Struthio camelus: one gene and its partners. The protein of the gene in region 1 interacts with the protein of each later gene in a pairwise test. Links are inferred from orthologs where the notes say so. Each region holds a gene or a part of one and is shown in the gene's direction. Other genes may lie near its edges. The genes, in order: UBE2E3, MUL1, CNOT4 and RNF167.

Region 1 (7,510 bases):
CATTGTCAATTATCTGGGGAAAAGACTCACTGGATATCTGTATGGGGTCTACCTCACAAGGGCCACTAGTTGCTAGACACGAAATAATAATAAAAGCACAATCTCAATTTTATCACATCACATCTATCTTAAAACAATACTTCCTTCATTTCCTGACTCTGCAGTTTGTGCATCTCTAGCTGTACCACTAGTAGAATTCCAACAGGTGCTTTAAAAGACACAGCCTGGTATGGAAACACACATAGGACAGAAAGATGCATTGCTAGGTAGATATATTTACTGTCAGGAAACAATGACTTTGTGATAAAGAAGATGTAGTATATGACTGTAAACATTTAAGTAGTATTTTCAACTGAGCTGCTCCTAATCATGAAAAATGCACGCTGGCCTTATTTTACCATCTATATACCCTTAAAATGTTAGGGGCAAGGAGATCAAGCAATGATTTTTCCATCTCTCTCAGTCTCCTTGAGAGAGGCAGAAAGTGCCTTTTTCTCTAGTTCTGCTGCCATGCATTGAGTTGTTCGTTATCACAGCATTTCATGTCAGATGGAGGAGACTGAACTGTGAATTCCTAAACCTAGAAAAATATTATCAGATGTCTGTGCAGCCCAAAGCAGTTGTTAAGCCTCCATATATTGACAGTACCTTCATACCTGTGCTCTGACAAAATAGAGACGGAGATATACCCAAAGCGACATGTGGCTTCTGAAAAAAACACAAACAGCTTTTGAGAGGAGGGCCTGTGATAAAAACAGAGGCCACTGATTGGGGAAAAAACGCAGGCCTCACCCACTCCTGAGTGCCCAGAACTGCTTGGACCAGTCTAAATGATCGTTAAGAAGGCTCTGCACTTCACAATACTGGCTGCATTTTCACAGTTCAAGTGATCCAATAAATTGGCAGCAGAAGAGCATTCATGATAGGTACATCAGTTAAAATTACACTGATGAAAAATCACAAGCGATATGAAAAGTCACAAAGATTGGGATATGTGGCTTTAAAAGTATGGCTATTAAAATCAGCACTTTCTCCCCTTAGTTCAAAATATACCATATCTCTCAATATACTACTTTTAATACAGTTGACAACAGAACAAACATACCTAAGGAAAATACAGCCTCACAAAAGAAAAGTGTCATCCTTTGAGACTTGATGTCAAATTAATGAACATCTTCAATGAACATCTTCAAATGAACATCTCTTATATCCACAAGTTGCTTTAGTAAATCTGTTTTAATAAAGTACAACAGGCTGGGAAAAAATAATCTACATCGGCTTTTCAATTAATCTCTGTTAAATGGGCTTTATTTTTATTTTGTATCCTAAAAGCCACACAGAAACCAACACGTAGTAGCTGATGTGGCGAGCAACCCTTGACCAGTCTACTTGCATTCACTCTGCAGACGCATACCCTGCTAATCATTTTTTTTGGATGCCTGTGCTAATCTTCACCTGAAATAAAATAAAAAACCGAAAACTTACACTTTCAAAGCTCCAGCAAGTCTCATCTTAAGCATCTTCAACAGACTAGCAAAAAAAAAAGCTCCCAGTGCTGACTGATAGGTTTTTGATATTGCCACGCTTCTCTTTTACTAATTATGCCCAGATTGCTCATCATGCCAGATACTGTTTATGCTAGGAATTTTCTACAGCATACCTCAGGGGCAAATTGCCTGTAGTGGTGATCTGGGAATTCTCTCTAGCCTACTTTAACAAACAAACCTCCAGTATTTCTCCACATCACATCATTCAACTCTCTCACCAAATCTTTAGCATACTTTTCAACTGAGTTAACTTCAGCTACCCAGAAAACTGTCATCCCTGACACACCGACTGTTTATTCCCTCTAGAGCACAGTATACACTCTCTGACCCCTTGATCCTACTAAACCTAAGAAAATACAGTAGTTTTAAGTCATTAGGCTGTTGATAATGAAAGCCCTTGAGGTAAAAGCCATTGAGGTGAAAGCCCTTGCGTTGGACAGCAATGTTCACCAGAGATTTCACGTCGATTGCTGCCTTTTGTCTTCGTACAAACATTTACAGTAATTGTTAATTCCTTCTCGGCCGAAGTTGGTTATACACAACCTTGTCTAGTGTTCACAAATAGCGTTTTACACGTACAAGTAGATCTTATTATCAGGATGATCAGACACTTTGGTAAGTTCGGAATATTCATATTATTTCAATTCTTGGCTTGCTTTTACCACACCGAGTACTCTAAAGGTTTAGTGTGGATAGCTGTTCCTGTACACCCCAGAACAGCACATCCATGACAGGCCAGAAGAGAAATTAAATCTCCACCCTGTACTATCTCCCTTGTGAAATGATCTTCCCACTGACACCTACTGCAATTGCTATCTATTATCCTCTTTCCTTTTCCAAAAAAATTCAGAATTTGGCACTCGGGCTGTTTATGGAACAATTCAAAACACCGCCTGTAAGGCCGAACACCCTCACTACAAGCAGCCCGGCTGTATAGTACCACCCCTGCTGCTGTAGGGATCCACCGCTTTGTCCGTGACACAGGAGCTCCTGGTGTACTTGGCCTCCTCAAGCCGCCGCATCGGCGCGCCTCAGGGCCAGCGCTGTCTTCGAGGTCGAAGGCCCGCTCGGCGCACCGGACCTCAGGGCGAAACGAGTCCTGGCTCCTACAGACTCAACACGCCAAATGGGAGCTTTTCGTCCCGAGACGCGCTAAGGAGTCGAGATTTTTAGAAGGGGAAAAGCGGAGGGAAGTCAGGGCAGGGCGGCCAACCGCTCGTTTCCGGCACTGCTGAACCCGCTCCCGAGCCCGTGGCCGGCGTGTGGCAGCCCGGCGCGGCCCGACGCCGGACGTGAGGAGCGAGGGCCGGCGGGGCGGCCGGGGGCCGTCGAGGCGGCCGGGGGCCGTCGAGGGCTCGGCCCGCGCACCCCGCTCCGGGCCAGAGGGGCGCCACGCGGCGCAGCCGGGGGCCGCCGATGGGCCCGCGGGAGGGCTCGGCCCGCCACGCGGCGCAGCCCGGGGCCGTCGAGGGCCCCGCGGGACGCTGGTGGCACCCAGCCCACAGACACGGGGCGGGGGGCGGGCGGGAGCGCGGCGGGAGGCGCTGCCCCAGCTGGGGGCGCGCCCCGGGCGGCCCCGCCCGCGGCCGTTGGCCGGGCCGGGCGCTGCCCGCGCGGCGGCTGCCCCGCGCCGACGCTTTGTCCTTGCCCGGCCCGCAGCACGCGCGCCCTCGGCCACGCCGGGAGAGCGCCTGCGCGCACCCCAGCCCAGAGGGGGGCGCGCTCCGGCAGCCGAGAGGCGGGAGCGAGCGCCCCCCGCGCCCCTCCCCCGCTCGCTCGGAGAACTTTGCTGACGGCGCGGCGGCGAGCGCGGGCGCGGCGGCGGCACCAGGGGGCGGCGGCGGCGGCGGCAGCAGGAGCCCGCCGGCGCCCCCCCCCCCCCCCGCCCGCGGCAGGCGCGCGCCCGCCCGCCCCGGCCCGCCGCGGGAGCCCGCGCCGCAGAGCGGGGCCCGCCAGCGCCACCCGCCGGCCCCGCGGCCGCACTGCACCTCCCCCCGTCTCCCCCCTGCTCCGGCTCTCAATGTTCCACACTGCCCGGCCACAGAGCCTCCGCCGCCGCTTTATAGCCCCCCGGCCGCCTCCGTCCGCTCCTCGGGCGCCGCGGGCCCGGCCCTGCCCCCCGCCATCCCGCCCCTCCGACCCAGCAGCGGGACAGGACGCCGGCGAAGGTAAAGGAGCGGCGGGTGAGGTGGCTGCAGCAGGCGGCTGGGCGAGCTCGGTGGGGGGAGGCGGGGAGGAGGCGGCGGGGAGCGGGGGGGGGAGCTGGTAGAGGAGCTTTGTTCTTGTTCCCAGCGCCCGCTGCCTGGCGGCGGCCGGGGCGGCGCGGCGCGGCGCGGCCGGCCTGAGTTCACGCCTCGCTCGGTGCCCACGCGCGGCGCGGTGCGGGGCGCTGCGGGGCCGCCCCAGCCGCCGCCGAGCCGGGCTCTCCCCACAAAGCGCGGCCGGGCGGCTGCCTCCCTCCCTCCCTCCCTCCTCCCTCCAGCCCCGCCGCCTCCAGCCCCGCCGCAGCTCCCCGCGCCGGCGGCGGCGGCAGCGCCGCGCTCCTCCTCGGCCCCCCCGGCCTCCGGGGGCAGCCCCCCTCCCCCCCCCCCCCCCCCGCCGCCGCCGCCGCCGCCGCCGCCTTTTGGCTAAAAAATGTCGGTCTGCGCGGTGGAAACGGAGCGAGAGCCGGTGGCGGAGCCTCGCGGAAGGGGCAGTTTGAATTACGCTTCCCCCCCTCCCCCCCCCCGCCCCCAGCAGCTCCGCGGCGGCCAGATGCAGTCGGTGCTGCTGGCCCTGTAAATAACCGACGCCGCTGCTCTCCGAGTCGATTTAAATGCGTCTTGGTTAAAAAAAACAAACAAACAAACCCCCCCCCTCCCCCGCCGCCCAGCCCTTTAAACGCCCAGGGACGGAGCAAGTGTCTATTTCAGTCTGAAATCCACCCGAGTGTTACTGGCAATATATTTTCTCCGGGAGAGGGGGGGGATCTGGCTGTTTGGACCCAATAAAATGCTCTGCTCCAGTGTAAATATTTACAGGGTATTAGTGACTTTTTAAAAAACATTTTCAGTGAGGTCTGTTATTTACAATGTGTCATAAGTTATTAATGTTCCTTGCCTAAGTACCCTGCTAAATCTGTCTCATGGCTTAGAACAAAGTCGACAATTGGCATATTGTTTAAAGTATGAAAAAAATGTGAGTGGGTTCAAAAATTGGAAATATCTGTATTTTCAGAAGTGTAAATATTGCTTCGTAGCTGTCAAACTACAGCCCTTGCTGAGGATGAGACAAAGAGGCGCGTTTTGGCTAATTTCTCAGTGAAATAGAGTTGTCATCAAGTTGAAAGTGCTCTTTAGAACTCGGGGAATGGCAAGAGACAGTCCTGACTCTTACATTAACTCTGCCTCTTTTCTTCTCCTTCCCCCTAAAAGTTCCCCACGATGTCCAGTGATAGGCAGAGGTCAGATGATGAGAGTCCAAGTACCAGCAGTGGTAGTTCAGATGCCGATCAGAGGGATCCACCAGCACCTGAACCTGAAGAGCAAGAGGAAAGAAAACCTTCTGCAACCCAGCAGAAGAAGAACACCAAATTATCCAGCAAAACTACTGCTAAACTATCTACTAGTGCTAAAAGGTAAAAGTGATAGTAAAATATTCTGTAGTATTTTTGCACGGTGTTTTGAGTTTCACTATTTGCAGTTGCACTTTTCAGGGCAGATGGATTCTTGTAAAGCTATATGAGAAAGTAAAGTAAAAGAGTGAAGATTTTAAATACAGGAGTCTGTCAGGCAATATTAATCTAGGTCTTATTGAGGTAGTAATCAGACAAACTTGTCATATTTCTTCTGAAGAGTTGCTTAAGAATTTGGTAACTTTCTGGCTGGGTGGTAGGAGGTTTTTTTTTGGCTTTTTTTGTCTTTGTGAAAATGTGCAAGAGAGTATGTGCGTGAGCTCCAGGTATCTCTTTCACAGAGCTAGTTTTCTCACCCTTACTGCTATAGGGCAGTGTCCTGGTGTACACTAGTAGCCTGTAGACTAGTGACAGGAAATGCTCTTTAATTATAGAAGTCAGGAAAAAAAAGTGGCTTTTGCAGGCCATATGACTAGCTTTTCTTGTCAATATGCAGTGCAGCCTTTCATGCCTTAACCTAATAGTTTCTGCAGTTTGTTCAGGAGAAATTTAAGTGGATCTTTTGCCTTAGGATCTGCAGGTTCAAACCATGGAGTTCTATAGGTAGACTCTACTGTTAAGCACCAAAATCCTTAGAAAGCTTGTTTGGTTGTATCTGGTGCATTTTTATTTGCATATAAGATTTCTGGAAGTCCAGCTCTCAAGACAAGCACGCTAACCCTATTCTGTAAGTTCAGCTCTATGAAACAAGCAAACTTTAAATCCCTTGATTTCAGTGGTCTTTTGAGATGAAACATAACTTTCCAATCTTTTCTCCGCAGTTCCTTTTCTTTACAAATACTGAGTTTATCCTGTAGCAAGAAGAGCTGTAGATCAGCCATGAGAATGCATACAAGTTCTTTATTAAGCAGCTTCAAATTTTGCTTATTCAGCACAAATACTGCAGTTCAAATTTTTAGGAACGTTTTAGAATTTTGCATTGGGACTTAAGTTGAATAAATACTTCTTGAAATGCGTTAATATTACTGCAGAACATTAGTAGGTGGCTTTGACATCTGTGCTCGTTTAAAAAAACACACCTTTGAAATAGGACTGGCTGGAGGAAGATTTCTGGAAGCACTGTGTAGATTTTGTAATTTATTATTGCTTACTTTTTTTGAAAAACCCACGATACATCATGTAGAAACTCAAGACTAAGTTTTCCCCTCTTGCCTTCATTTTGCTTAGTTGTGTGTCTAATTCCATAAGTCTCAAATAGCTGAGTAGTCTGATTGAACTTAGTATGACTAGTGTAATGGCTTTCAGATCAGCTTCTATTAGTTCATATTTTAATGCTTCCTATTTAAAGGAAAGAACGGTCTTGCTTTTATGGGCCTCTTTTGAAGAAAAATCTTATTTGACATTTTAAAGAGGAATTTACCATGCATCTTTTAACTTTATACCTCTCTTGTATCTGAACAAACTATTAAATTGACAAAAAGTTTTCAGTGTTCCTCTTCCGGACCTTAACAGCTCAGGAACGATTGTTACAGGATAGAGAGCAAAGCTAGCTCACAGATTATTTCGAAATTATAAGCTTCAGGGAAGAAAGGCAGCAGAAGGTGCACAGAGGAGCAAAGTTGATCCAGAGAGATTATTCCAGTAACCGAGGCAGCCTGTCAGATCTGCAAATCTACTTTTTAAATGTTACTGGAAAGTAACAGGTAAAACATTGTCAAAAGAACGTATTTGCTTACAGCACAGTTCGCTGCTTCAGCTGCAATCACGGGTCTGCAGCCCTGGTTTAAAGTCATTGTTAAATATGCTTGTACAGCCTCTCCCCCCCCACACACACCTCATTTGCATATTAGCTTGAAAAGAAAATCTCTCTGCTAAGGAGTGTTCAGATATGAAAAATAGTTACTTTTCTGTATACTTGTGGGAAATTCCTATCAAACTCAGTTGTAAGCGTGCTGTTTATTTACAGTATTAAGCAGAAAAAAAGCTGCAAAGTTTCTCTGCTGTGGGATTTGGGTTATGCCTCTGAGAACAAAGAGGAAGCAGCCATGTTAGCATTACTGAAGGCAAAGCCAATCTTGCATTTAACTGCATGGTGGTAGAGGGCAGTGTAATTCCCTGATTTATTCTATAGACTATCTCAAATGCTTTGTGTCTGTTCTCATTTCACCAACAGAATCCAGAAGGAGCTAGCTGAAATAACCCTTGATCCTCCTCCTAACTGCAGGTATGTAACAACAACTTCTTAAATTGTGGACAGTGGTAGGAGTTTAATGTGCTCAGGCTAACAAATGGGAAACGTTTTTGTGTTTACAACTGATGACTATTAAACAGAAATTGCATGCAGCAGAAT
Region 2 (7,911 bases), on another chromosome or scaffold:
TAACGCAGGAGCTATAAATAACCGGGCTGACAAACACCCCCAAACCCCCAAATCTGCATTCTTGCCCTAGAAATCCTGTCCCTGAAACCATCCTTTACGCTGAGAGCCGGGAAGCAAAGCAGCACAGAGCAAACCGCGTCCTTTGCTGGAAAACAAAACCAAAACACAACCGAATAAAGAGATCGAAAGAAAGGCTTGCATCTTTTATTATTTTGGTTGCCAGTGCTGCGGAGCTGCGCTGCACCAGCGCCGGCTCGAGGTCGTCGGAGAGAGGAGGGGTTGTCCGCCGCCGTCGGGTTTGCAGCACGCGCAGCGGCGTGGAGCGCCGGGGCGAAGAACCGCCGAGGAGGGGCGCGTTCGCTGCGCCGACGGGGGTCTCCCTGGGCGGCTCGGCGGCGGAGCCGACGCCGGAGCAAGCCTCGGATTCGGCAGGAGGCTAAAAGCTAAAATTTCCACCCAAGAGGGGCATCCTTGAAGGCCTGCAAATATGGCAAAAAAAAACAAAAAAAAACGGGGGTGGGGGGGAACTGAGTGAAAACCACCTGCGAGAAGGCAGCAGCGTTTGCAAGCCGGGCCGACGCGAGCGCCGCCGGGGGCGGCCGGCAGCAAACGCCTCGAGGAGCGCCCCGATTTGAAGAGAAAGCCTCGTCGCTGGCGCTAGGGCTGTGCGGGGCGAGCAGCTGCCGTGGTCCGAGCCTTCGGGGAAAAGGGGGGGAAAAAAATCACTGCCACCTCACTCCGCCCTTAATTTCCCCTGCGGGGAGCAGGGGGGGGGGGGGCTCCGCTCGGCGGGCTTGCCGGCGTGGCTAACGTTTGCCGAGGGCTCCCCGCGCGCTGCCTGATGCCGCGTCCCGGGGAGGTGGAGCAGCCCACGGAGGGCTGAGTCCCCGCTGCCGCCGCTCACGCAGCAGGAGCGGGCAGGCGAGCGGCTGCGCCTCGCTCCGCCGCCGGCTCCTCTGCGGCAGCTCAGCGGCTCCGCATCCCCCCGCGCCGAGGCCAGCGGCATCCTGCCGCAGCATCCGCCTCCCGCCGCGCTGGGGTAGGGAGCCGGCAGCGGGGGGGCGGCACCGCCGGGGGACCCCTCCGCGGCAGGTCAGCCTCCCAAAGCGGAGCGGGGCGGAGGGGCAGCTCGGCCGCGGGAGCATCACAGCGGCGTGGGAACGGTGAGACCCACGGGAGCATCGCGGCGGTGCGGGAACAGTGAGACCCGCGGGAGCATCGCGGCGGCGTGGGAACGGTGAGACCCGCGGGAGCATCGCGGCGGTGCGGGAACGGTGAGACCCGCGGGAGCATCGCGGCGGTGTGGGAACGGTGAGACCCGCGGGAGCATCGCGGCGGTGCGGGAACGGTGAGACCCGCGGGAGCATCGCGGCGGTGTGGGAACGGTGAGACCCGCGGGAGCATCGCGGCGGTGCGGGAACGGTGAGACCCGCGGGAGCATCGCGGCGGTGCGGGAACAGTGAGACCCGTGGGAGCATCGCGGCGGTGCGGGAACGGTGAGACCCGCGGGAGCATCGCGGCGGTGCGGGAACAGTGAGACCCGCGGGAGCATCGCGGCAGTGCGGGAACAGTGAGACCCGTGGGAGCATCGCGGCAGTGCGGGAACAGTGAGACCCGCGGGAGCATCGCGGCGGTGCGGGAACGGTGAGACCCGCGGGAGCATCACAGCAATGCGGGAACAGTGAGACCCGTGGGAGCATCGCGGCAGTGCGGGAACAGTGAGACCCGCGGGAGCATCGCGGCGGTGCGGGAACGGTGAGACCCGCGGGAGCATCGCGACGGTGCGGGAACAGTGAGACCCGCGGGAGCATCGCGGCGGTGCGGGAACGGTGAGACCCGTGGGAGCATCACAGCGGCGTGGGAACAGTGAGACCCGCGGGAGCATCGCGGCGGTGCGGGAACGGTGAGACCCGCGGGAGCATCGCGGCGGTGCGGGAACGGTGAGACCCGCGGGAGGACTGCGGTGAGGCGGAAACGCCGAGCCCCGCGGGCGGCAGAGGAGCCCTCGGCGCAGCCGCGATGCTGCCCTGGCGCCGCAGCAAGTTCGTGCTGGTGGAAGAGGAGCGCGAGGGCAAGGGGAAGAGCTTGGGCCCGGGGCTGGGCTACGGCTCGCTGCTGGCCGCCCTGGCGCGCGCCTGGCCCGGCGCGCTGGCCGAGTGCCCGCTGCGGCGCCTGGGCCGCCTCTTCGGGGGCAAGCGCCGGACGGCGGAGCTCAGCCGGGAGGCGCCCACGTACACCGTGCGCTACCTGGGCCACGCGGCCACGCTGCGGGCCAAGGGCGAGGGCTGCACCGACGAGGCCGTGGGCAAGATCTGGGCCAAGAGCGGCGGCGGCGCCAAGATGCGGCTGACGCTGGGGCCGCACGGCATCCGCCTGACGCCCTGCGAAGCCGGCGCCCGGCGCCCGGGCCAGTGCTACCTGCTGCGCCGCATCACCCACTGCGCCGCCGACGCTCGCCGGCCCGACCTCTTCGCCTGGGTCTACCGGCACCGGGCGAAGAACAAGGCGGTGGCGCTGCGCTGCCACGCGGCGCTGGCGCCCGAGGCCGGGGTGGCGGGCGCCGTGGCTCGCCTGCTGGCTCAGGCGGCGGCGGGCGCCCTGGCCGAGTTCGGGCGGCTGCAGCGGCAGAGCGACGGGCGGCACGGGCGGCAGCAGCGCCTGGGGGCCGCCGCCGTGCCCCCGGCCCCGCTGCGGCGCCTCCTCAAGGCGCCCCGTCCCTACGGCCCGCCGGCGGCCGAGCGGGGCCGCGGCGCCCCCGGCCTCGGCTCCATCCTGGAGGAGGAGGAGGAGGAGGAGGAGGAGGAGGAGGAGGGCGAGGAGGAGGAAGGCTCGGGCCGGCGGCGGGCCGACGTGCTGCGGCTGGCCGGCGAGCTGCGGGGCTGCAGCCTGCGGGGCGCCCTGCCGCCGGGGTGCTGAGCGCCCGCTGAACCCCCCCCCCAAAGGCCCTGGGGGTGGGATGGGGTTGAAACCCCCCTCTCTAAGGCCCTGGGGGGGTGGGATGGGGTTGAACCCCCCCCTCCAAAGGCCCTGGGGGTGGGATGGGGTTGAACCCCCCCCCAAAGACCCTGGGGGGTGGGATGGGGTTGAACCCCCCCCTCCAAAGGCCCTGGGGGGTGGGATAGGGTTGAACCCCCCCGCCCCAAAGCCCTGGGGGTGGGATGGGGGCTGAATCCCCCTCCAAGGCCCTGGGGGGGGTGGGATGGGGCTGAACCCCCCCCTCCAAAGGCCCTGGGGGGTGGGATGGGGGCTGAATCCCCCCCTCCAAAGGCCCTGGGGGGTGGGATGGGGTTGAACCCCCCCGCCCCAAAGCCCTGGGGGTGGGATGGGGGCTGAATCCCCCTCCAAGGCCCTGGGGGGGGGTGGGATGGGGCTGAACCCCCCCCTCCAAAGGCCCTGGGGGGTGGGATGGGGCTGAACCCCCCCCTCCAAGGCCCTGGGGGGTGGGATGGGGGCTGAATCCCCCTCCAAGGCCCTGGGGGGGGTGGGATGGGGGCTGAACCCCCCCTCCAAAGCCCTGGGGGTGGGATGGGGCTGAACCCCGCTCCAAAGGCCCTGAGGGAGTGGGATGGGATTGAAACCCCCCCTCAAAGACCCTGGGGGGTGGGATGGGGCTGAACCCCCCACTCAAAGGCCCTGGGGTGGGATGGGGTCTGAACCCCCCTCCAAGGCCCTGGGGGGTGGGATGGGGTTGAACCCCCCCCCCCCCAAAGGCCCTGGGGGCGGGATGGGGTTGAAACCTCCCACTCAAAGGCCCTGGGAGGTGGGATGGGGGCTGAATCTCCCTCCAAGGACCCTGGGGGGGTGGGATGGGGCTGAACCCCCCTCCAAGGACCCTGGGGGTGGGATGGGGCTGAACCCCCCCTTTAAAGGCTCTGGGGGGTGGGATGGGGCTGAACCCCCCACTCAAAGGCCCTGAGGGAGTGGGATGGGATTGAAACCCCCCCTCAAAGACCCTGGGGGGTGGGAAGGGGGTGAACCCCCTCCCCAAAGGCCCTGGGGTGGAATGGGGTTGAAACCTCCCTCTCCAAGGCCCTGGGGGGGTGGGATGGGGGCTGAACCCCCCACTCAAAGGCCCTGAGGGAGTGGGATGGGATTGAAACCCCCCCTCAAAGACCCTGGGGGGTGGGAAGGGGGTGAACCCCCTCCCCAAAGGCCCTGGGGTGGAATGGGGTTGAAACCTCCCTCTCCAAGGCCCTGGGGGGGTGGGATGGGGGCTGAACCCCCCCCCAAAGACCCTGGGGGGTGGGATGGGGGCTGAAGCCCCCCTCCAAGGCCCTGGGAGGTGGATGGGGCTGAACCCCCCCCCAAAGACCTTGGGGGGGTGGGATGGGGCTGAACCCCTCTCCAAGGACCCTGGGAGGTGGGATGGGGCTGAACCCCCCCTTTAAAGGCTCTGGGGGGTGGGATGGGGCTGAACCCCCTCCCCAAAGGCCCTGGGGGTGGGATGGGGCTGAACCCCCCCCTCCAAGGCCCTGGGGGGTGGGATGGGGGCTGAACCCCCCCTCCAAGGCCCTGGTGGTGGGATGGGGCTGAACCCCCCCTCCAAGGCCCTGGGGGGTGGGATGGGGGCTGAACCCCCCCTCCAAGGCCCTGGGGGGTGGGATGGGGCTGAACCCCCCCTCCAAGGCCCTGGGGGTGGGATGGGGCTGAACCCCGCTCCAAAGGCCCTGGGGGGTGGGATGGGGGCTGAACCCCCCTCCAAGGCCCTGGGGGGTGGGATGGGGGCTGAACCCCCCCTCCCAAAGGCCCTGGGGGCGGGATGGGGTTGAAACCTCCCTCTCCAAGGCCCTGGGGGGGTGGGATGGGGGCTGAATCTCCCTCCAAGGCCCTGGGGGGGTGGGATGGGGGCTGAACCACCCCCAAAGACCCTGGGGGTGGGATGGGGCTGAACCCCCCCTAAAGACCCTGGGGGTGGGATGGGGCTGAACCCCCCCCGGGGGGGGGGCGCTGAGCTTGGCGCCGACACGGCCCCCCCCCCCCCCGCCCCCCGCAACACACCCCTCCCTGGAGGACCGCCCCGCCCGGCCAGAGAGGCAGCTCCTCCCCGCCATCCTCTATGGTTACCATCGAGCCCGCGGCCAGAGCGCCGCGGCGGCGGCATCGACGTCATCACGGGTGCGCCGGCGCGGCCGTTGCCGCGGCAACGAGCGGGGCCGGGCGGCCATGGAGGGCGGGCGGCCGTCGGCGGTGCAGGCCGCGCTGCTGGCCGCCGGCGCCGCCCTCACGGCCCTGCTCTACTCGACCTACCGGCACAAGGCCCGCGCCGCCCGCCGCCTCCAGGTGCCCGGGGGAAGGGAAGGGAGGGGGAGGAGAAGGGGGCGGCCGGGGGAGGCCCCCGCGGCCTGAGCCGCGTCGTCTGTGTGCGCAGGGCGCCCGGAGGCTGCGGCTGGACGGGGAGCTGCGCGCCGCCCTGCGGGAGGCGCCGGGCCGCTGCCTGCCCTACGCCGTCGTCCAGGGTACCGGCACCCCCCCCCCCACCCCACCCCCCGCTCAACCCGCCCCCCCCAAGGGGGGGGAGCGCGTCGAAACACCCCTTTGGGGGGTTATTTTGGCTTGTTTGTTTGTGTGTTTGTTTTCTCTTCCCCCCCCCCCCCAACCCCTCTGGCAGGTGCCGTGCGGTCGGCGAAGGAGACGCTGAGCAGCCAGTTCGTGGAGGGCTGCCGAGGCGTCGTGCAGCGCCTGACGCTGCAGGAGCACAAGATGGTGTGGAACCGCACCACCCACCTCTGGTAAACGGCCTCGCTTCGCCTCGCCTCGCCCCGGCGGGGAGGGGATGGGGAAAAAGACGCCCCCCCCCCCCCGGTGCCCCCCTCCTCCTGCCGCCTTCACTGCGGAGGAGACGAGGAAGCAGCTCTCGGGCAGCGCCTGAAGCCCCGACAGCCGAACCCCTCCCGCGGCTGCTTTCGGCGCCCTTCCTTAGCCCTTGCGCGTTAGCGTGTCCGCCTGCCCACAAAACCTCCGCGCCCCCCCCCCCCGAAGAGGTGGTCTGCCAGGTTGAGTAGCAGCTCCCCAAGTCGACTTACGTAGCGGCTAACGTGCCGTGCTCGGCTCTGGATTCTGCCCGCCCTTCCTTTACGTGCTGGCGGACGTGGGGATTGGAAGTAAACAGCTCGGTGGCTCGTTAAGCAGACGTAAATCATGTCCCACCAGCCTCTTCCTGGGCCGCCGCATGGTTTTGAATCAATAAAGTTGGGGTTTTTGCTCATGTTGCTGTAAAATCAGCCCTTGTGTGTACATGGAGACGAGTTCTCTTCTGTAGGACCCTTCCTTTCCAACATCTGCGCTCGGAAATCGGTGTACGAGTTGGTTACCGTCCTCATTTATATCCTTTTTATGGGGTGGGAAAGTCATACAGCTGAGTGCCAGCCATCCGTGGGAGAGCCTTGCACGTTGACATGACTTCAGACGTTGGCAAATTGACGGAGGGGCTAGACGGAGAGTCCGGAGTACAACGCGACCGCGTTATAGCTGCTGAAACGGAGCGTGTTTTGCTGTTTTCAGAGCTGTGTCCTCTCAGAGTTTATATAGGGACTGTAGGAAATGAGCGCTGTTGCTCCAAGCGCTCAGGCAGAGCGCTTGTCAGCCGCTCTACGTTACTGCTGCTGAGCGCTGGTCGCAGTGTAACGTTTCCCCGGCAAAACGGGGCCTTAGTAAAAGTCTGAATTCGGATGACAGACGCTTGTGCTAGCGTCGTACCTGACCGCGGAAGCGGGAGCAGCCTTGTCGAAGGCAGTTGTTGACGCTAGAGCATCGGCGCGCTCTCCGAGCCTAAACAAAGCCCCAGCTAATCGGATTACATTTATTAAACTTGCCCGTGTGACACGCGGCGCTGCTCGCCGCACAGTGGTTTGTCGGAGCCGGGAACGCATCTGGGAGATTAGATGGAATTAGATATGCCTGAGCGCTACCCTCAGGACGGCGGACGTCCTTTTTACCTTACCAGGGAGGTTGCAAATGCGTGGAGATAAGAGAAGAGGGCCTAGCGCAGAGCCGGATAACCCCAGGGAGAGAAACCACTCCGGCATCGTTCTTGGCTAGATGAATTCCAGTTAGGGCAGGCGACAGTGCGGGTGCGAGCGATCCCCGAGCAAAGCAAATCCCCTGATCTAAGCAAATTCGAGACAGGCTGCTGGTGCGGCACCGAATCCTGCTGCAAGTTCCTGGAGCTGCAGCAGTATCGCGTGCCGGTGGGCAGGCGGGGCCAGCAGGCAGCTTGTTTGTTTCCTTGCAGTAGTTGTAGCTCCTTTTTTTCCCCCACCTAACTCGAAGAGGGATGGGTGTTGCTCTTACCCTGCAGACCGTACTGCGTTTCCCTACTGCACTTCATCTGGGGGAAGCGCTAGCGCAAAACTCCTCCTTATGCTTGCGTTTGTTGTAGTCGGTAATCCCTCCTTCCCCAGGAACGACTGTGAGAAGATCATTCACCAGAGGACCAACACGACTCCCTTTGACCTGGTGCCTCCCGAGGACGGGGCCGACGTGAGCGTGAGGGTGATGAAACCCCTGGAGGCCGCCGAGCTCAGCCTGGAGACGGTGTACGAGAAGTTCCACCCCTCCGTCCAGTCCTTCACCGATGTCATCGGCCACTACATCAGCGGCGAGCGTCCCAAAGGCATTCAGGAAACGGAACAGATGCTGAAGGTGGGAACCACGCTGACGGGGGTGGGAGAGCTGGTGCTGGACAACAACACGATCAAACTGCAGCCCCCGAAGCAGGGAATGCAGTACTATCTCAGCAGCATGGATTTCGACGCCTTGCTGCAGAAGCAAGAATCCAACGTCAGACTCTGGAAAATCCTGACAATCATTTTTGGCTTCGCTACTTGCGCCACTCTCTTCTTCCTCCTGAGAAAGCAATACCGGCACCATCGAGAGAAGCAGCGCCTCAAGCAAATGCAAGATGAATTCAGG
Region 3 (7,448 bases), on another chromosome or scaffold:
GCACATAGAACTGCAAACTTGAATCCTGTTACTAGTCGCCGCTCACTAATCTTCTCTCCTTCCCCTTCCAGCGCCTGCACAGGATTTCTATAGAAAGGAGCCAGAAAGAGGGAGGCATCTTGTTTTGTTACACAGCAATGGTTCCCTGGGAAAATCCATTCCTCAGGGAAGCCCAGACTGGAAAAGCAGATGGGAATGACATTCCAAAATTGAGAAAAAAATTAAACCTATTATCACTAGCACTGATAGGAGGAATGACAAACATTTGCAATTTGTCTCTGGCAACCGAGGCACCATAATGATGAGGAGCATGAGCTTTGCAAGCTGCTGGCTGCATGAAAAATGTTTGGAAAAAGAGAGGATAAGGAAGGAGAAGTCCATGGATCCTGTGAATCTCTTTCAGCAGGAGACCAGAAGGCAAAAAAAAAAGAGCTGAGAGAATACATGTGACAACTTGTGTAGCCTTCAGGCAAATGTCTAGACTCAGAGAAGGAGTTTAGGATAAGGAAAACAACATACAGGAAAATTTGCTGGAAATTGTACAGAAGGAAACAGACCTCTGAAGAATGTTAGGATGCTATATGCATACCACTACTTCAAGAGCACCCTGGGGTTAACAAGAGCAGTGACAGCTTCCTGTAGGTTTCCAGAGGTTACTGTACCCTTTCCAGAAAACCGGAGTGATTTCTGCTTTCATTTGCAAAGACAGATGCACTTAGCATATACGGTGTGTTGTGCCAGAATCAGTAAAGATTATCCTGAAAAAATTGACTGAGGCATTCCACTAAAGTTCTCATTTTCCCCTAATAACATCAATTCGTAACAAAAACATTAACAAAGACAAATCTCTCTCCCTTTTCCACTGCTGTATGCTTACCATGAAGAAAGAGCAGGACAAATCCCTGATCCTGTTTCCCGGAGCAGTTTGGACACCTCCTCCCTCTCTCATAGATTTTGAACCAGACTTGGTTAACATCTGTCACTTGCAGCAAATATTGATCAGCTTGTTTGTAAGGCTCCTCCAGCTGCCCTTCAGTTTTGCCACAAAGCCCTTCATTATTATTCTGTAGGTAGTCAGAACAGTCATACCATTCCTTCTCCAGTACCTTGGCCCAGTAAAAGGCCTGAGAAGTAGAAAGATGTCTGGGTCTCCCAGAGTGACAAAAGGAAGGACATCATTAACTTTCATAGCCGTCCAGGGAGCAATTGATATTTTGTTGCAGTAAATAAGGCTGAATTTCTAAAAATCCTTTCATCAACTATTCCAAAACTTTTTTCATTAATATTGGAAAACTTTCCATAGTAATCAATGAGGCTTTGCAGAATATCCTTTTTCTGTTTATGAAAACTGACTTTTGGTATGCAATATAGGTACCCAAGTCCAACCAGTGGTTCCAACGTTAACTCAGGAACATGAACTTTGCAAATCTTGAAGTCATTTTCTTGGTACCAGCACAATGAAACACACACACACAGTATTTATTTCCAGCATACACTGACATACCAGCACCAATCCAGTTAGCAGCTAGCCAGCTGGATTGCTGGCAACCACCAAGGCACCAATGGTCACCCCAACACAGAGATGTGCTGCTGTATCAATTTTATCAATGCTGACAATCTAAACTGAGCTAGGCCTTTGGCAGCCATTACCATCCTGAAGTCCTAGCAGAATTACTCTTCATCCCAAGCATGGTTTCCTCCTTCTCTGCCAGTATCAGTGCGCCACCACCACATCTCTTTCCAATCCCTTCCCAAGACTTTCCACTGCGTTACCAACCTGTTTGTATTAAGGGTGGCTGGAACTGCGGAGCTCTGCCATGTTTTCTCCATATAGCCATTTGAAGTGGTGTTGACTAACAACAGGAGGAATCATGCAAGTAGATTGGTTTCACCCCAAATTGCAGAATTCTGGTAGGTTCCTATATCTTCTTCCACAAGACACCAACTGTAGGACATCTCACCAGAGAGTACCTTCCCAGCACATACTGAGAGTTAATACAGGACAGCGTGTATGTAAAGAATCACAGGGAAATTGTAACTGAGTCAAAATAAATAAATCATACAGGTATACATTTTCACTCTAGCTAGTATACTTTGGTTATTTCCAAGAAAATATACTCTGAACATTTTTCTTTGTAGATATAGAAAAAAATTTTTTAGGAACAATCCTGCTGAGTGATCAGACCTATTCAAAATAAATGAAAAACAAACATCAAGGTGACAAAATGTGACTGTGTAATAATAATCTATCAAAACAATTACAATTACTTCAAAGCAAGAAACAGATAATTTAAGGACATCTGAAATCCAACAATGGCCACATGATGGTCTAGTGAATTATTCTCATCAAATAAAAGTCGAGGTGGAAACATAAGGCCATGTGTAACCTTCAGTAACGTAATGCAATATAACCTTCTGCCATGTGATTTTTTTTCACATTATTATTGGGTAGTGCTGAAATTGGTGTCCATGTGAGACTCAGCAAAGGAATATAAACAGACCTTTAGTAAGGGAAAGAATTCTCAATCCTAAATTAAAAAAAAAATAAAACACACAGAATGTCACTTAATAAGCAGCCTTAATTTCGACCCATGAATTGCAGCTTTTAAAATGTACTATTTTTATCTTTCTTTCAGAGTCAAAGGACTTTATTTTATTCAACAGGAAACATTGCCAAGTACTAGGTGTGTCAACAAATGCATTACTTTATATAAGTTACTTACATACTGGGTACTTCTGGAACATAATCCTTTATAGGTAGCTTGATCTGAAAATGTGCAAAACAAAGTTTTTGATGAATATATTCATTTCATATATACGTGCACTTGAATCTGATGTGTCATATATGATATATATGTTACAGTTATATATTAAATAGGTTTGTAAGTACCATTGTAGGATTCATTTTCAAAAGAGTACTGCATTTATGTTCACATGTTGAGACTACTAATGAAAATAATATTGTATTTATTTTTATTCAGATCTAGGTCTTGCCCACAGCTGGAAGTGATATAGTTAATTCATAGAGCTTTCCTGTTATGGGTATTCTTATATCAATATAAAACTGTTTATATGCACAAAGTAACGTTAACTTCTGTGGGAAAGAGAATAAACTACAGCAACACAAGACGCTTCGCTATCAGTGGAACAGGTGTGTGGTGTGAGGCTGTAACTGTATAACACTTTAACGTAAGACAGAAAAATAAAGAAGAAAAGCATCATACTGCTAAGCAAAATAGTTATACCTCTGCATTCTGTGCAGGCCATTCTGTGATGAACACCTCTCTTACCCACCCAGCAATTGCTGAAATAAGTAAAACATCAGGTGTATGTTGCCATGGCAAAACCACTAATAACTTGTGCCTTGGAGATAACTGATGATTAAATATGCAGGATGAAACTGCCTATTACAAGAGCTAAGGATCCTGTGCAGGAACTCCCTCTGGAGTCATAAAGATTGGGAGTAAAAGCACTCTTTTTGGCTAGTAGCTGAGGTTCTGAGGTCCCTTTGTGTGATACTGGGACTGCAGGAAAAAGGAGGTAGATTTACAGGTTCAGTCTTAACAGGCCCATGGCACTGGGTTTCTCAGTATCTGCGGTAGAAAGAAGAGACCAAAGCAATGTGGTTTGGGTGAGTTTCTGAAGACAAGAGAGACAAAAAAGAAGCAAGACAAGTGTTTTGGCAGCATAGAGGTTCTCTCCCTGAGAATTTCCAGGGAGGAAGTTGCTTCTGCAATATTAATTACAATCCCTGCCCATGAAAGCAGAATTTGCCTAGATTTTCTAACTGAAGAGAGGACACCAAGAAAACACTCATTTCTGTGCCTTTCTGTTCCAAATGGGAAACCGATCTGCAAAGCTCTTAAAAAAAAAAAAAAAACTGTTTAGCCAAGGGGCACCACCGCGTTAAGTGTCTGTTGCCATAGGATGAGCAGGTCCGGGCGGGAGAGGGGCAGCTTTCCAGCCGCGGGGCGGGCGGGTGGGCAGGCGGCGCGCAGGAGGTAGCCACGTTTCACCGCTGCAGAAAACCGATGTCCTCATCAGCCACGCAATCTTGCTGTCACGCTGGGTCGGAACCTGTGAGGATGGAGGAAAAAGGAAAAAGGAAAAAAAAGAAAGAAAGAAGAAAGAAAAAAGAAAAATAGGCAAAAAAGAGAAAAAGAAAAAAAAAAGAAGAAAAGAAGAAAGAAAGGAAAATAAGAAAGAAGAGGAGGAAGGCAGGCAGCTGGCCATCTCCCGCGCGGGGAAGGGAGAGCCGGAGGCGGTGGCCCGCGTCCCGCGTCCCCCCTCTGCTGTGAGTTGCGGCGCGGCGGGGGCGGCGGGGCAGGCTGTGCCTGGGAGCGGGAGGGACCGGCCAAGAGCAGACTGCCACCCTCCCGGGATGTTGTAAACGGGATCTGTAGTCGGGACTCGCCGCCTCTCGCCGAGTTTAACGGGAGCGAAACCAAGTACGAAAGCGCGCACTGCAAACAGCCTCCCCTGGCTGCCAGCCACCTCCTCAGAGACATCGCCTACCTGCGCTTTTGGAGGTCTGAAGTGACAATAAGTAGATTGCCTTTGGCCGAAGGGAGAGGGGGAAGCAGAAACAATGAGGGGAGGAAACAAAAAATAAACCCGGCGTTTTAAATCCGCACAGGTTTAACGGCCGGCAACAGGTGGCTGAGGCGGCGGTGGGTGTAGGGCCAGGGTCGGGCCGGGCCGGGGGCGAGCAGGGTCTGCCCCGGGTGGGCTGGGGGGTGGCGAGGAGCCCCGGGGTTACGCCGGCGGGGGGAAGGCGGACCAGCCTTCCTCCTCCTCCTCCTCCTCCTCCTCGTCGTCGCGGCCGGCAGTTCCCCCCCCCACCCCCCGCCCCGCGCTGACAGGGCGGCCGCGCCGCGCGCCTACAAGTCCCGTCATGCCCAGCGCCGTCGCGGCTGTTGCCGTCGCGGCCGCTCGCGCCCCTCCCCGCCCACTGTCGGCGGCGCAAGCGCAGGGGGGGCGGCGTCCAGGGCAAGTCTCCCTAATGTAAGATGGTGGCCGGGCTGGCAGCGGAGCGCCCCGAGCTCGGAGATTACCCGTCTCTCGCATAAAGGTCGTCGGAAGAGCCGCCGCCGCCGCCGCTGCCGTCGAAGCCCCCGGTCGGCCGCTGCCACAGGTCCCGCCCGAGGAGCGCCGCTGCGGTTTTTTTTTTTTTTTTTTTTGCCTTCAGCCGCCCGCCCCGTCTCCTCTCTTTCCTCGCCGCCTCTCTCCTTCCCTCCCCACCCTTCTCCCCTCTCCTCCTCCTTCCCCGCACACTCGCCCGCCTCCGCCGGCCCGGCTCGACTCGGTTCGGTTCGGCCCGGCCTGGCCCGTCCGCCGCGCCGGGCAGCGCAGCGCGAAGGAGAGCCGCGCACACACTGCGCGCTGGGCAGGGACGAGGAAGGCGGGTGAGTGCGAGCTGAAGGCCGGGCCGGGGAAGGAAGGAGGGAGGGAAGGCGGCGGGGGGGGGGGGGGGGAGCCGGGCCGTTCTGCCTACGAGAGCGCCGAGGCTTCGCTGGGACGGCGCAGGCCTCAGCCCACCCCCCCGTGCCGGGAGCGGCCGGGCCGTGCGGGGAGGCCGCGGGGGAGAGGGGCGGGTGGGCGGCCGCTCCCGGGGGCCGCGGGGAAGGGGGCTCCCCCGGCCGGCCGCGGGGGGGGAGGTATTTATGGATTTGTTCCTACCCCCAGCGCGGGGGGGGGGGGGGAACCTCCGCTGGTCAGGTTGGGGGGGGCGGTCCCCCCCCCCCCCCCCCCGAGCCGCGCTGCCCTCCCGGCCGTGCCCGCCCGCCGGGGGAGGCCGGCGGCCTGCGGGATCGCGGCGTGATTCACTTAGGATTTGCCTGGAAATTTCCTCTCTCCCCTTCTTCCTCCTCCCCAAAGCTAGGCTCCATTTGTTCTTATGATTTGCACTTTTTTTTTTTTTAAGAGCGCAACAAACAGATGGTAAATGGCAGCCTCTTATTTTCTCTGTTATTTTGGATAGTCCGTGTAACCCCCCTGAGATTTGTCTATCTGTAAAATAATCGATATGTAACTTTCTGTCTCTTACTCACAAAATACTAGCAGCTCGTTCCATTTTGTGGGTTAGCAGAAGCAAATGATACTGCTGTGTATGAGCTCTCATCCTACTTCCAGGGACTTGTCGTGTTGCTCTACCTGCCGGTGTCAAACTGAGCTGCTAATGTTTTCATGTGTACAGTAAAAGGGGAGGGAAAATACCCTAGATAAATATCATAGACTGCTTTGTTATTGTACCTGCAAGGATTTAATTGTCCATGGCTTGAATATTTCTGTCAGTATGGTAATATCAAATAGGTAGTTCATAGGAGAAGTAATTCTCTTTATATGTTAATGTAAGCAGAAACCATTAGCTAGTTAAAGCTGTGGAAACTCTAGGCCTACAGATGTTAGCTTACTCTTACCCAGAAGTTTTAGAAGTTAATGTTGGCAAATCGCATGTTTACTGAGCCTGTACAGATTTCTAACTCGCTGTGTTTTAACTGTCTGTGTTTTATTTTAGTTCTAAAAGGTCTGGACTCAAGCATCTGCATATTTTGACTTTATACTCATGTAAGCATGATGACTGGCATTAACTAGAAGGAAAAACTAGTACTGAACAATGAATATGTAGAAGAATGAAATTCCTTCTGTGCTCTCTCTGTCCCCACTTTGAGAAAAAAGATACAGGTTTATGAAAAGCAGGGAATAAACTGGCTGTTTGGTTTGAGAGGATGAATTGATTTCAGGTGGCCTACAAATACTCAAATACACTTCTAGTTTCTTATCATCTCTCTAATAATACACTAAACTTGTGCCTAGTCTAGGATTCAGGTGTGTTGTTCAGGTTTTGGGATCCTGTGATAAAATTTCTGTTTCATGAACAAGATGAACACATGCAAGCGTTTAGAAATGCTTGGCAGTTGAAGTTGGCTGAATTGCAATCAGAGTTCATTCTAGGGGAAAGGGTTGTTTTGGAAAGGGGAATACAATGATAAAATTGATCTTTGCTTTTAACTTGCGTACTTTTTTCAGGTGCCTGTTTATTAGCATTTTAAATGATGACCCTTGGAAGGTCCTAACAGCTTTTCCTGTTTAGAGAGAAAAGGTGGTGAGTGCCTTTCAAGAATAGCACTCTGTAAAATAATTTGTTGATACCTTTTTTCAGAAAGTTTAAGAGCTGCTATGCAGTGCCCATTAAATAAAAAGCTTGAGTTCAAGAAGTTGGGGAGAGAATAAGCACATGTGGCTTTTTTTTTTTTGAAATAAACATATTCATTATAAACAGATAGATGTTGTCCTTTGCTGTTGTTCAGGAAAGTTAGGATATTCTTTGCATGTTAAATGTTTTGAAATTACTCTGACCAAGGTTTTAAGTATGGGCCCTGAAGGCTTAACTTTGGCAACTGTTTTTCGGAATTCTGCCTACCTCTCTGGAATAAATGAGTTTATAT
Region 4 (7,884 bases), on another chromosome or scaffold:
CAACTGCGTCATGAACTGGTGATGGCCACGCCCCCGCCGGGAGCCACGCCTCCTCCCCGGGCCACGCCCCGGCCCCACCCATCGGGCTGCTCTTGGGAGAGGAAGAGCCGTTTCCACGGCGACGGCGTTTGACTGACAGGCTGAAGCCCCGCCCTGGCTTTGCTCCTGCCCCGCCCCATTGTTGCTGAACGCGGGACCGCCCCCCCCAACCGCCTGTGGGGCAGGTCCCACCGTGGGGCCCGCGTGTGGGGCAGGTCCCATCATGGGCTCTCCCCACCGCGGCCATGGGGCAGGTCCCACCACGGGTCCCCTGTGCCGTGGGGCAGGGCCCACAGTGGCGCCCGGCTCTCTGTATATTTTGCTTTAATTATTTTGTAACGAGAAACTCGTTAATGAAGCACTTTATGGCCCCATGGCCGTGGGGTGCCCCACGGTGGGGGGGGGGGGGGCTCTCCAGGGGGCGGGGCCAGAGGCCGGAGGCCTCGAGGGTGGGGGTGTAGGCCCGGGGCAGCCCCCACCGTGGCCTTGAGATGCTGTAATAAAGCACCGAACCAGGTCGCAGCCACCCGCTTCAATCGCCGAACGCCTGGGCCCCGGGGGGGGGGGGGGGGGGTCTCCAGGGGCTCGTATAGGGCTGTGCAGGGAGGGGAGGGGAGGGGGAGTCTCCAGGGGCTCGTATAGGGCTGCGCGGGGAGGGGAGGGGAGGGGAGTCTCCAGGGGCTCGTATAGGGCTGTGCGGGGAGAGGAGGGGAGGGGAGTCTCCAGGGGCTCGTATAGGGCTGTGCGGGGAGAGGAGGGGAGGGGAGTCTCCAGGGGCTCGTATAGGGCTGCGCAGGGAGGGGAGGGGAGTCTCCAGGGGCTCGTATAGGGCTGCGCAGGGAGGGGAGGGGAGTCTCCAGGGGCTCGTATAGGGCTGTGCGGGGAGGGGAGGGGAGTCTCCAGGGGCTCGTATAGGGCTGTGCAGGGAGGGGAGGGGAGTCTCCAGGGGCTCGTATAGGGCTGCGCAGGGAGGGGAGGGGAGTCTCCAGGGGCTCGTATAGGGCTGCGCGGGGAGGGGAGGGGAGGGGGAGTCTCCAGGGGCTCGTATAGGGCTGCGCGGGGAGGGGAGGGGAGTCTCCAGGGGCTCGTATAGGGCTGTGCAGGGAGGCCAGTGTATCCGGTTTAGGGGTCATGGAGGTGCTCCAGGGGTGTGGAGTTTTTAGGGGGGGCATGTCCTGGCTGCCACTCCCCCCCCCAACCGCAGGCCCTAGCGTCCACAGTGCCTGGCTGAGCTGTCCTCGTTCTCCAGCAGGGACAGGGGGCACACGGGTTGGCGGGGGGCCATGCTGCTGGGGTTGCTTGGGAGTCCATGCAGCACTGGAGGGTGTTGTGGGCAGCACATGGGGCGTGCAGGACGTGGGAGGGGCATGAGAGGGGCATTTGGGGGCCTCTGAGGGACCCTCAGCTGCCCCCAGGCAGGAGCATGCGAAGGAGAGGCCCAGGCACTGGGCGCGCACAAGGGTGCGGGTGCCTAGGGCGAGGCAGGGAGCACCCAGGGGAGCGCCACTGTGCACCCGGGGTTTAACGTAGCCCACGAGGGGTTAATGTGGCCCACGAGGGGGTTTTTCACACCACAAGGCACAGCTGGTGCCAGGGTGGGGTGGGGTCAACAGAGCCACTGTGGGAAGGATGGCGGCACCACCCTGGGGGACACTGGAACCACTGGGGGTTGGGGGGGGGGGACACACCTGCTTCCTAGCTCTCACCCTGCACCCCACCCCGGGGGGACCCAGGCGTCTGGGCAGTGACGGGGGGGGCCCCACTCGCCGTGGCACCATCGTGCCCCGACGCCACCCGCACTGCCACCTCCTCGCACCGACAGCTCTTTACTATGTTCCAAGCGCAGCAGGGAGAGGGTGGGGGACATGTTTCGGGTGCCCCCGCCGGGGCCAGGCGCGCAGGGAGACCGCCGGGCCGGGGCTGGGGCCGGGGCTGCCGCTAGGCACTGAGGAAGAATTTCTTGTAGTACTTGTTCATCTGCTCGAGGAAGATGAAGGTGAGGACGGTGTGGGGGCCCAGGCGGGCGTAGTACGGCGTGAAGCCCTTCCAGAGGCTGAAGAAGCCCTCGTATCGCACCACCTTCACCAGCACGTCCTGCGAGGGTCGAGACGGGGGGCTCGCGGCGGGGCCAGTGCGCGGCAGCCCCGGCAGCCCACGGCCCCTCGCTCCCGCTTACCAGCCCGTTGCGGTACTCCGGCTTCCCGTCGATCATCCGCATGTTCTGGATGCTGCGTGGGGGGAAGGAGGGTGGTGAGCGGGGGGGCTGCACTCAGGGGAGCCCCCACCGCCCGCGGCACCCACCGCGTCTTGGCGATGTCCACGGGCATGGAGGCGGCCGTGGTCACCAGCCCGCTGATCATGCTGGCACAGAAGTGGCAGAGGATGTCGTCGCGGAAGTAGCCTGCCGCAGGGGAGAGATGGCAGCAGGCGTCAGTGGGGCCGGAGCCGCAAGAACGGAGTCGCGACGCCACCAGAGTCACAACATCGGAGCCATGATGCTGCTGGAGCCGTGACGCCACCGGAGCCGCGACACCGCTGAAGGCACCGGAGCCACGACGCAGCCGGAGCCGTGATGCCGCCGGCGCCGTGAAGGCACCAGAGCCGCGACGCCGCCGGAGCTGTGACACCGCCGGAGCCGCGACTCACCGGAGTCGAGCAGGAACTGCTTGGACTGCGAGTAGGAGGCGAGCTGGGCGGCGTTGACCACCACCGCCCGGGCCATGGTGGGGATGCAGCCCTGCGGGCGAGAGGGTGAGCGGGGCCAGGGCGACCCTGGGGTCCCCCGTGCCACAGCGTGGGGACGTCCTGAGATCCCCATGTCCCCATGCCGTGACCTGCCAGAGTGTGGGGCCACCCCAGGGCCACCACGCTGCTGCGCCAGCGTGCGGGGACACCCCAGGGCCCCCCTCCCACACTGCCTCGGACGCCCCAGGACACCGGAGCGTGGGACCACCAAGTACCCCCCCACCGCGCCGCCGCGCCGCGCCGTACCCGCCACAGTGTGGGGACGCCTTCCTCCCGCGTTATCCGCAGCAGGGCGTCGAAGACGTTCCGGTAGCCGCGCCGCTCGGCAGGGGGCAGCCTGGGGGGAAGGAAAGTGGGGGCCCACGGGCAGGCGGCGGGAGTGAGGGGCCGCCACCGCCGCTGCTGCGGGGCCCCGCTGGCCTCACCTGCCGTCGGCCGTCATGCGGATGAGGGCCACCTCGGCTGGGGTGCCCACGAAGGCGCCGGTGGCGCCCGCCGTCATGCCGATGAAGGCTTTGGTGATGAAGGCGGGCGGCGTGCCGTCGGCCCCCGTCAGCTTCTCGAAGAGGACGGTGTAGATGCCCAGGCGGGTGGTGGTGTAGGTGGCCTGGCGCAGGAGGCCGGCCGAGAGCCTGCCGGGGGCGGTGGTGGCGTTCAGCGGGCAGCGTGGCGGCCTCCCCGCCGCCCCCCTGCCGTTCCCCGTCCCGCCTACCCGGTGTAGATGCCGCGGACGCCCTCCTTGCGCAGGATGCTGCCCACGGCATGCAGGCTCGTCTTGTACTCTTTGGTCTTGGCGCCCTCGCCACTGAGCTGCATGCGGTTCTTCACCAGGTCCAGGGGCTGCACGAAGACGGTGGCGCCCATGCTGCGGGCAGGCAGCAGCGGGTCCAGCGGCTGGGCAGGGCGGCCCCCGCCGCCACCGAGGAACGGCTTTGGCAGCCGGAGCAGCGCCGGCCGGGCTCTGCTGCAGCACGTGACCCGCACGTGCGCCGCGCCGGCCCCTCGAGGCGTTTGGGGAAGGAGCCTGACACCCAGGGCAGCGTCTTTTGGTGGGGGGATCTGGCTGCGCCGAGCTGCTGACGGAGCAGAGCTGCCCGAGGCAGCTCCGGGGCAGGGGAAGCGGGGAGAAGGGGGCCGGTGTCTCGGGACCCTGCGATGGCTCAGGCTGGGTGGGCTCCCTGGGGGTGACGGAGGGGGCTGGGGGGCTGCGAGGTCCGTGATGGGGCTGAGGGGAGTTGGGGGTGTCTGCAAGGGGATGGGGGGGCTCTGATGAGGGTAGTGGGGGGCTGCTGAGGGACCTGAAGAGATTGGGAGGACCCTGAGGGGTCCGGGGGGTGGTTCCTGAGGGGGCTGATGGGAGCATGGGGCCCCGAAGGGATCGGAGGGGCCCTGAAGGGTCAAGGGGGTCCCTGAGGGGGTCGGGGGGCCCTGAGGGGGGCTCTAGGGGGTCGGGGGCTCTAGGGGGTCGGAGGGGGCCCTGAGGGGGGCTCTAGGGGGTCGGGGGCTCTAGGGGGTCGGGGGGGGGCCTGAGGGGGGCTCTAGGGGGTCGGGGGCTCTAGGGGGTCGGGGGGGGCCTGAGGGGGGCTCTAGGGGGTCGGGGGGGCCCTGAGGGGGGCTCTAGGGGGTCGGGGGGGCTCTAGGGGCTCTAGGGGGTCGGGGGGGCTCTAGGGGCTCTGGGGGGGGCTCTAGGGGGTCGGGGGGGCCCTGAGGGGGGCTCTAGGGGGTCGGGGGGGTCGCTCACCCGGCCAGGCCGCCGAAGAGGAACTTGACGGACTTGGGGGAGGTTTTGGGCTTCTCGGCCGCCGGCGCCGCCGCCATCTCGGCCGCTGCCGGGGCCGGTGCGGTCCGGTCTGGCCCGGTCCGCTCTGGTCCGGTTCCGGTCCGGTCCGGTGCGGCGCGGCCGCCCGGCACCAAGGTGACTCCGGGGCGGGGGGCGACGGGGGGAGGCGGGGGGGAGCTGCGCGCGCAGCCGCGGCGCCCGCCGCACTGCGCCTGCGCGCGGCGCCTGCGCCCCACCGGGGACGGGAGGGGCGGGACCTCCAGGGGCGGGGGCGGGCTGGAGACGGGCCGGAGGGGCGGGGCCTGAGGGGGCGGGGCCTGAGGGGGCCGGCCGGAGGGGCGGGGCCGGGCCAGACGCGCGCGCACCCCTGCGGCCGCCCATTGGCGCGGCGGTTTTGGCGGGAAGAGCCGCCGGGGGCGGGGGGGGGGAGGAGGAGGAGCGCGACCCACCGCCCCCCCCCCCCCCGCCGTGAGGCACCGGGTACCGCCGAGTAACAGCCCCCCTCCCCCCCCCGCCGGGTACCGCCGAGTAACAACCCCCTCCCCCCCCCCCCCGCCGGGTACCGCCGAGTAACAGCCCCCCTCACCCCCCCCCGCCGGGTACCGCCGAGTAACAGCCCCCCCGCCGGGTACCGCCGAGTAACAACCCCCCTCCCCCCCCCCCCCCCGCCGGGTACCGCCGAGTAACAGCCCCCCTCACCCCCCCCCCCCGCCGGGTACCGCCGAGTAACAGCCCCCCCGCCGGGTACCGCCGAGTAACAACCCCCCTCCCCCCCCCCGCCGGGTACCGCCGAGTAACAACCCCCCTCCCCCCCCCCCCGCCGGGTACCGCCGAGTAACAGCCCCCCTCACCCCCCCCCCCGCCGGGTACCGCCGAGTAACAGCCCCCCCCCCCCCGCCGGGTACCGCCGAGTAACAACCCCCCGCCGGGTACCGCCGAGTAACAGCCCCCCTCCCCCCCACCCGCCGGGTACCGCCAAGTAACACACATACGGGTACCGCCGAGTAACACCCCCCCCCCCCGGTACTGGCGAGCAGCAGCCGCAGCAGCACCGCAGAGCGCCACCTGCGCAGGGGAGCGCGGCCCCCGCGGAGGAGTACCGCAGGGTAACACCCCCGCGGAGGAGTCCTGCCCTGGAGGAGCGACGCCGGGTACCACCCTCCCGGCGCACCCCGGAGTACCGCCGCCAGCCAGCGCTGAGGCGGGGCGCCACGCAGTACCGCCCCCGGGTACCGGAGTACCAGCCGAGGAGGAGCACTGCCAGGTACCACCCCGGCGAGAAGTACCTCCAAATACCACCTCCCATGGGAAGTACCACCCAACTGCCTCAAAGTACCAGGAGGTACCACCCCGAGGAGGACTATCACCCCAGTACCACCCCCCGAGGGTGAGTACCACCCCAGTACCACTGCAGCCCCCCCGAGGAGGAGTACCACCCCGGTACCACCCCCGAGGAGGAGTACCACGCGAGTACTGCCCCCAAGGCCGAGTACCGCCCCGGGGAGGGGCACCCCGGGGCCCCCCGCCCCGCGAAGCACCCCCAAACGCTCGCCCGGAGCCCAGGTACGGCCCGAGCGCCGCCCTCGGGGAGTACCGCCGGAGGTACCGCCAGGCGGGGGGGCGCCGGCCCCCACGCGCGACCGACCCCACGACGGGGGTCCGAGGCAGGGCCGGACCCGGCGTTGGCCCCCCCGACCCGTGCGCGGGGCCCAGGCGTCCGGGGCGGGACGCGGCGGCTCCTCCTCCTCCTCCTCCTCTCGCGAGAGCGCCCGGCCATGTTGCGGGCGTAAACACGGGGACCCCCCGGGCGGGGGGGACACGCGTCCGCCCCACGGCCCCGTGGGCCGGCGCTGAGCCCCACACGTCGCCCCCCCCAGGTAAGGCGGGGGGGCCGGACGCCTGGGCCCCGGCGCCGCAGCGGGGCGGCGTGTGGGCTGGGGGGGCGGACTTCGCCCGGCGCTTATCGGGGTGAGGTGCGTCCCGGGGCCGCGACACGCCGCGACACGCCTCGCCACGCCTCGCCGCGCCACCTCCCCCCGCCACTGCGCCGGCCCGGACGCCTGGGCCCCCTCCACCGCGGAGCGAGCCCAGGTGTCCGGGGGCCGCCCCGACCCGCCGCCGCCGTCACCTCCCAGGTCGCCGCCGTCCCCGCCATGCGGCCGGGCCCCGTCGCCCTCCTCGCCGCCGCCGCCGCCGCCATGCTGCTGACACCCCCCGCCGAGACCTACATCCAGGCGGTGAGCGGGGTTTTGGGGCGGTTCGGGGGGATTCGGGGGCCGTTCCGGGGCTCACTGCCGCCGCCGCCCCCTCCCCGCCAGGTGCTGGGGCCCAACGCCACCATGGAGTTCTCCGACCTGCCGGCGCTCTTCGGCGCGCCGCTGCCTCGCCAAGGCCTGCTGGTAGGTGGCCTCCTCCGGACGCCTGGGCCCCGTCCCGGGACGCGGGGGCCCCTGACGCGTCCCCCCCGCGCAGGGTTTCGTGGTGGAGGCGCGGCCCAGCAACGCCTGCCGGCCCATCGCGCCGGCGCCCGGCGCCAACGGCACCGTCTTCATCGCCCTCGTGCGCCGCTACGACTGCGACTTCGACGTCAAGGTGGGGCGTGGGGGAGGGGGGGAGGCTGGAAGGGCCCAGGCGTCCCCCGCCTCCCGCCCTGACCCTCGCCGCCGCCCCGCGCAGGTGCTGCACGCGCAGCAGGCCGGCTTCGGGGCCGCTGTGGTGCACAACGTGGACTCGGAGAAGCTGCTCAACATGGTCTGGAACGATGGTGAGCGCTGGCCGGGCCACGCGGCGGCTCCGCTCCGCTCTCCCGGTGGCCCCGGCTCTGTCCCGGCTCCATCATGGCTCCATGGTGGCTCCGCCATGGCCCACACAGCTCCACTGTGGCCATCACGGCTCCTTCGTGGCCTGTCATGGCTCCACCGTGACCACTGCGGCTCCATCACGGCCATCGTGGCCCCATCATGGCTGTGGTGGCCCTATCACAGCTCCACCACGTCTCTGTCATGGCCGTCGTGGCTCTATCATGGCCCGTCACAGCTCCGTTGTGGCCATCATGGTTCCACTATGGCCACTGTGTCTCCGTCATAGCCCTGTCACAGCTGTCATGACCCCATCATGGTCCCCTTGCAGCTCCATCATGGCCACTGTGGCCCAGCTGCGGCTGTCGCGGCTCTGTTGTGGCCCTGTTGTGGGCTTGGTGGCCATCACAGCCCTATCGTGGCCCCATGGTGGCCCTGTTGTGGCTGTGGTGGCCACCACCCCTGTTGTTGCCCCATGGTGACCGTCATGGCCCCGTGGCGGCCATGGTGGCTCTGTGGCGG

The links.
Region 2: the proteins of UBE2E3 (region 1) and MUL1 interact in a two-hybrid assay, tested with the Homo sapiens proteins (2 studies listed by BioGRID and IntAct). The link is inferred for Struthio camelus from reciprocal best matches to the Homo sapiens genes UBE2E3 and MUL1.
Region 3: the proteins of UBE2E3 (region 1) and CNOT4 interact in a two-hybrid assay, tested with the Homo sapiens proteins (3 studies listed by BioGRID and IntAct). The link is inferred for Struthio camelus from reciprocal best matches to the Homo sapiens genes UBE2E3 and CNOT4.
Region 4: the proteins of UBE2E3 (region 1) and RNF167 interact in a two-hybrid assay, tested with the Homo sapiens proteins (2 studies listed by BioGRID and IntAct). The link is inferred for Struthio camelus from reciprocal best matches to the Homo sapiens genes UBE2E3 and RNF167.

The regions. Positions count from the first base shown.
Region 1 is NC_090947.1:18,921,280-18,928,789, reverse strand, and holds the start of UBE2E3 (ubiquitin-conjugating enzyme E2 E3), read left to right. Parts: upstream 1-4,505; 5' UTR 4,506-4,538; coding exon 4,539-4,568; intron 4,569-4,960; coding exon 4,961-5,163; intron 5,164-7,333; coding exon 7,334-7,384; intron 7,385-7,510. UniProt on the Homo sapiens protein: Accepts ubiquitin from the E1 complex and catalyzes its covalent attachment to other proteins. In vitro catalyzes 'Lys-11'- and 'Lys-48'-, as well as 'Lys-63'-linked polyubiquitination.
Region 2 is NC_090962.1:12,714,333-12,722,243, forward strand, and holds the start of MUL1 (mitochondrial ubiquitin ligase activator of NFKB 1), read left to right. Parts: upstream 1-4,905; 5' UTR 4,906-4,916; coding exon 4,917-5,280; intron 5,281-5,368; coding exon of another isoform or gene 5,369-5,456; intron 5,457-5,608; coding exon 5,609-5,729; intron 5,730-7,400; coding exon 7,401-7,911. Other genes in the region: protein FAM43B, read left to right, coding at 2,020-2,916. UniProt on the Homo sapiens protein: Exhibits weak E3 ubiquitin-protein ligase activity. E3 ubiquitin ligases accept ubiquitin from an E2 ubiquitin-conjugating enzyme in the form of a thioester and then directly transfer the ubiquitin to targeted substrates.
Region 3 is NC_090942.1:54,558,013-54,565,460, forward strand, and holds the start of CNOT4 (CCR4-NOT transcription complex subunit 4), read left to right. Parts: upstream 1-4,446; 5' UTR 4,447-4,529; exon of another isoform or gene 4,530-4,738; intron 4,739-4,956; exon of another isoform or gene 4,957-5,405; intron 5,406-7,448. UniProt on the Homo sapiens protein: Has E3 ubiquitin ligase activity, promoting ubiquitination and degradation of target proteins. Involved in activation of the JAK/STAT pathway. Catalyzes ubiquitination of methylated RBM15.
Region 4 is NW_027182728.1:101,326-109,209, reverse strand, and holds the start of RNF167 (E3 ubiquitin-protein ligase RNF167), read left to right. Parts: upstream 1-4,883; 5' UTR 4,884-5,044; intron 5,045-5,559; exon of another isoform or gene 5,560-5,601; 5' UTR 5,602-5,951; exon of another isoform or gene 5,952-6,127; intron 6,128-6,147; exon of another isoform or gene 6,148-6,537; intron 6,538-6,699; 5' UTR 6,700-6,717; coding exon 6,718-6,801; intron 6,802-6,882; coding exon 6,883-6,963; intron 6,964-7,036; coding exon 7,037-7,156; intron 7,157-7,240; coding exon 7,241-7,328; intron 7,329-7,884. Other genes in the region: MINK1 (misshapen-like kinase 1), read left to right, coding at 1-22; SLC25A11 (mitochondrial 2-oxoglutarate/malate carrier protein), read right to left, coding at 1,978-2,133, 2,216-2,267, 2,341-2,440, 2,686-2,776, 3,031-3,121, 3,210-3,416, 3,497-3,649, 4,526-4,602.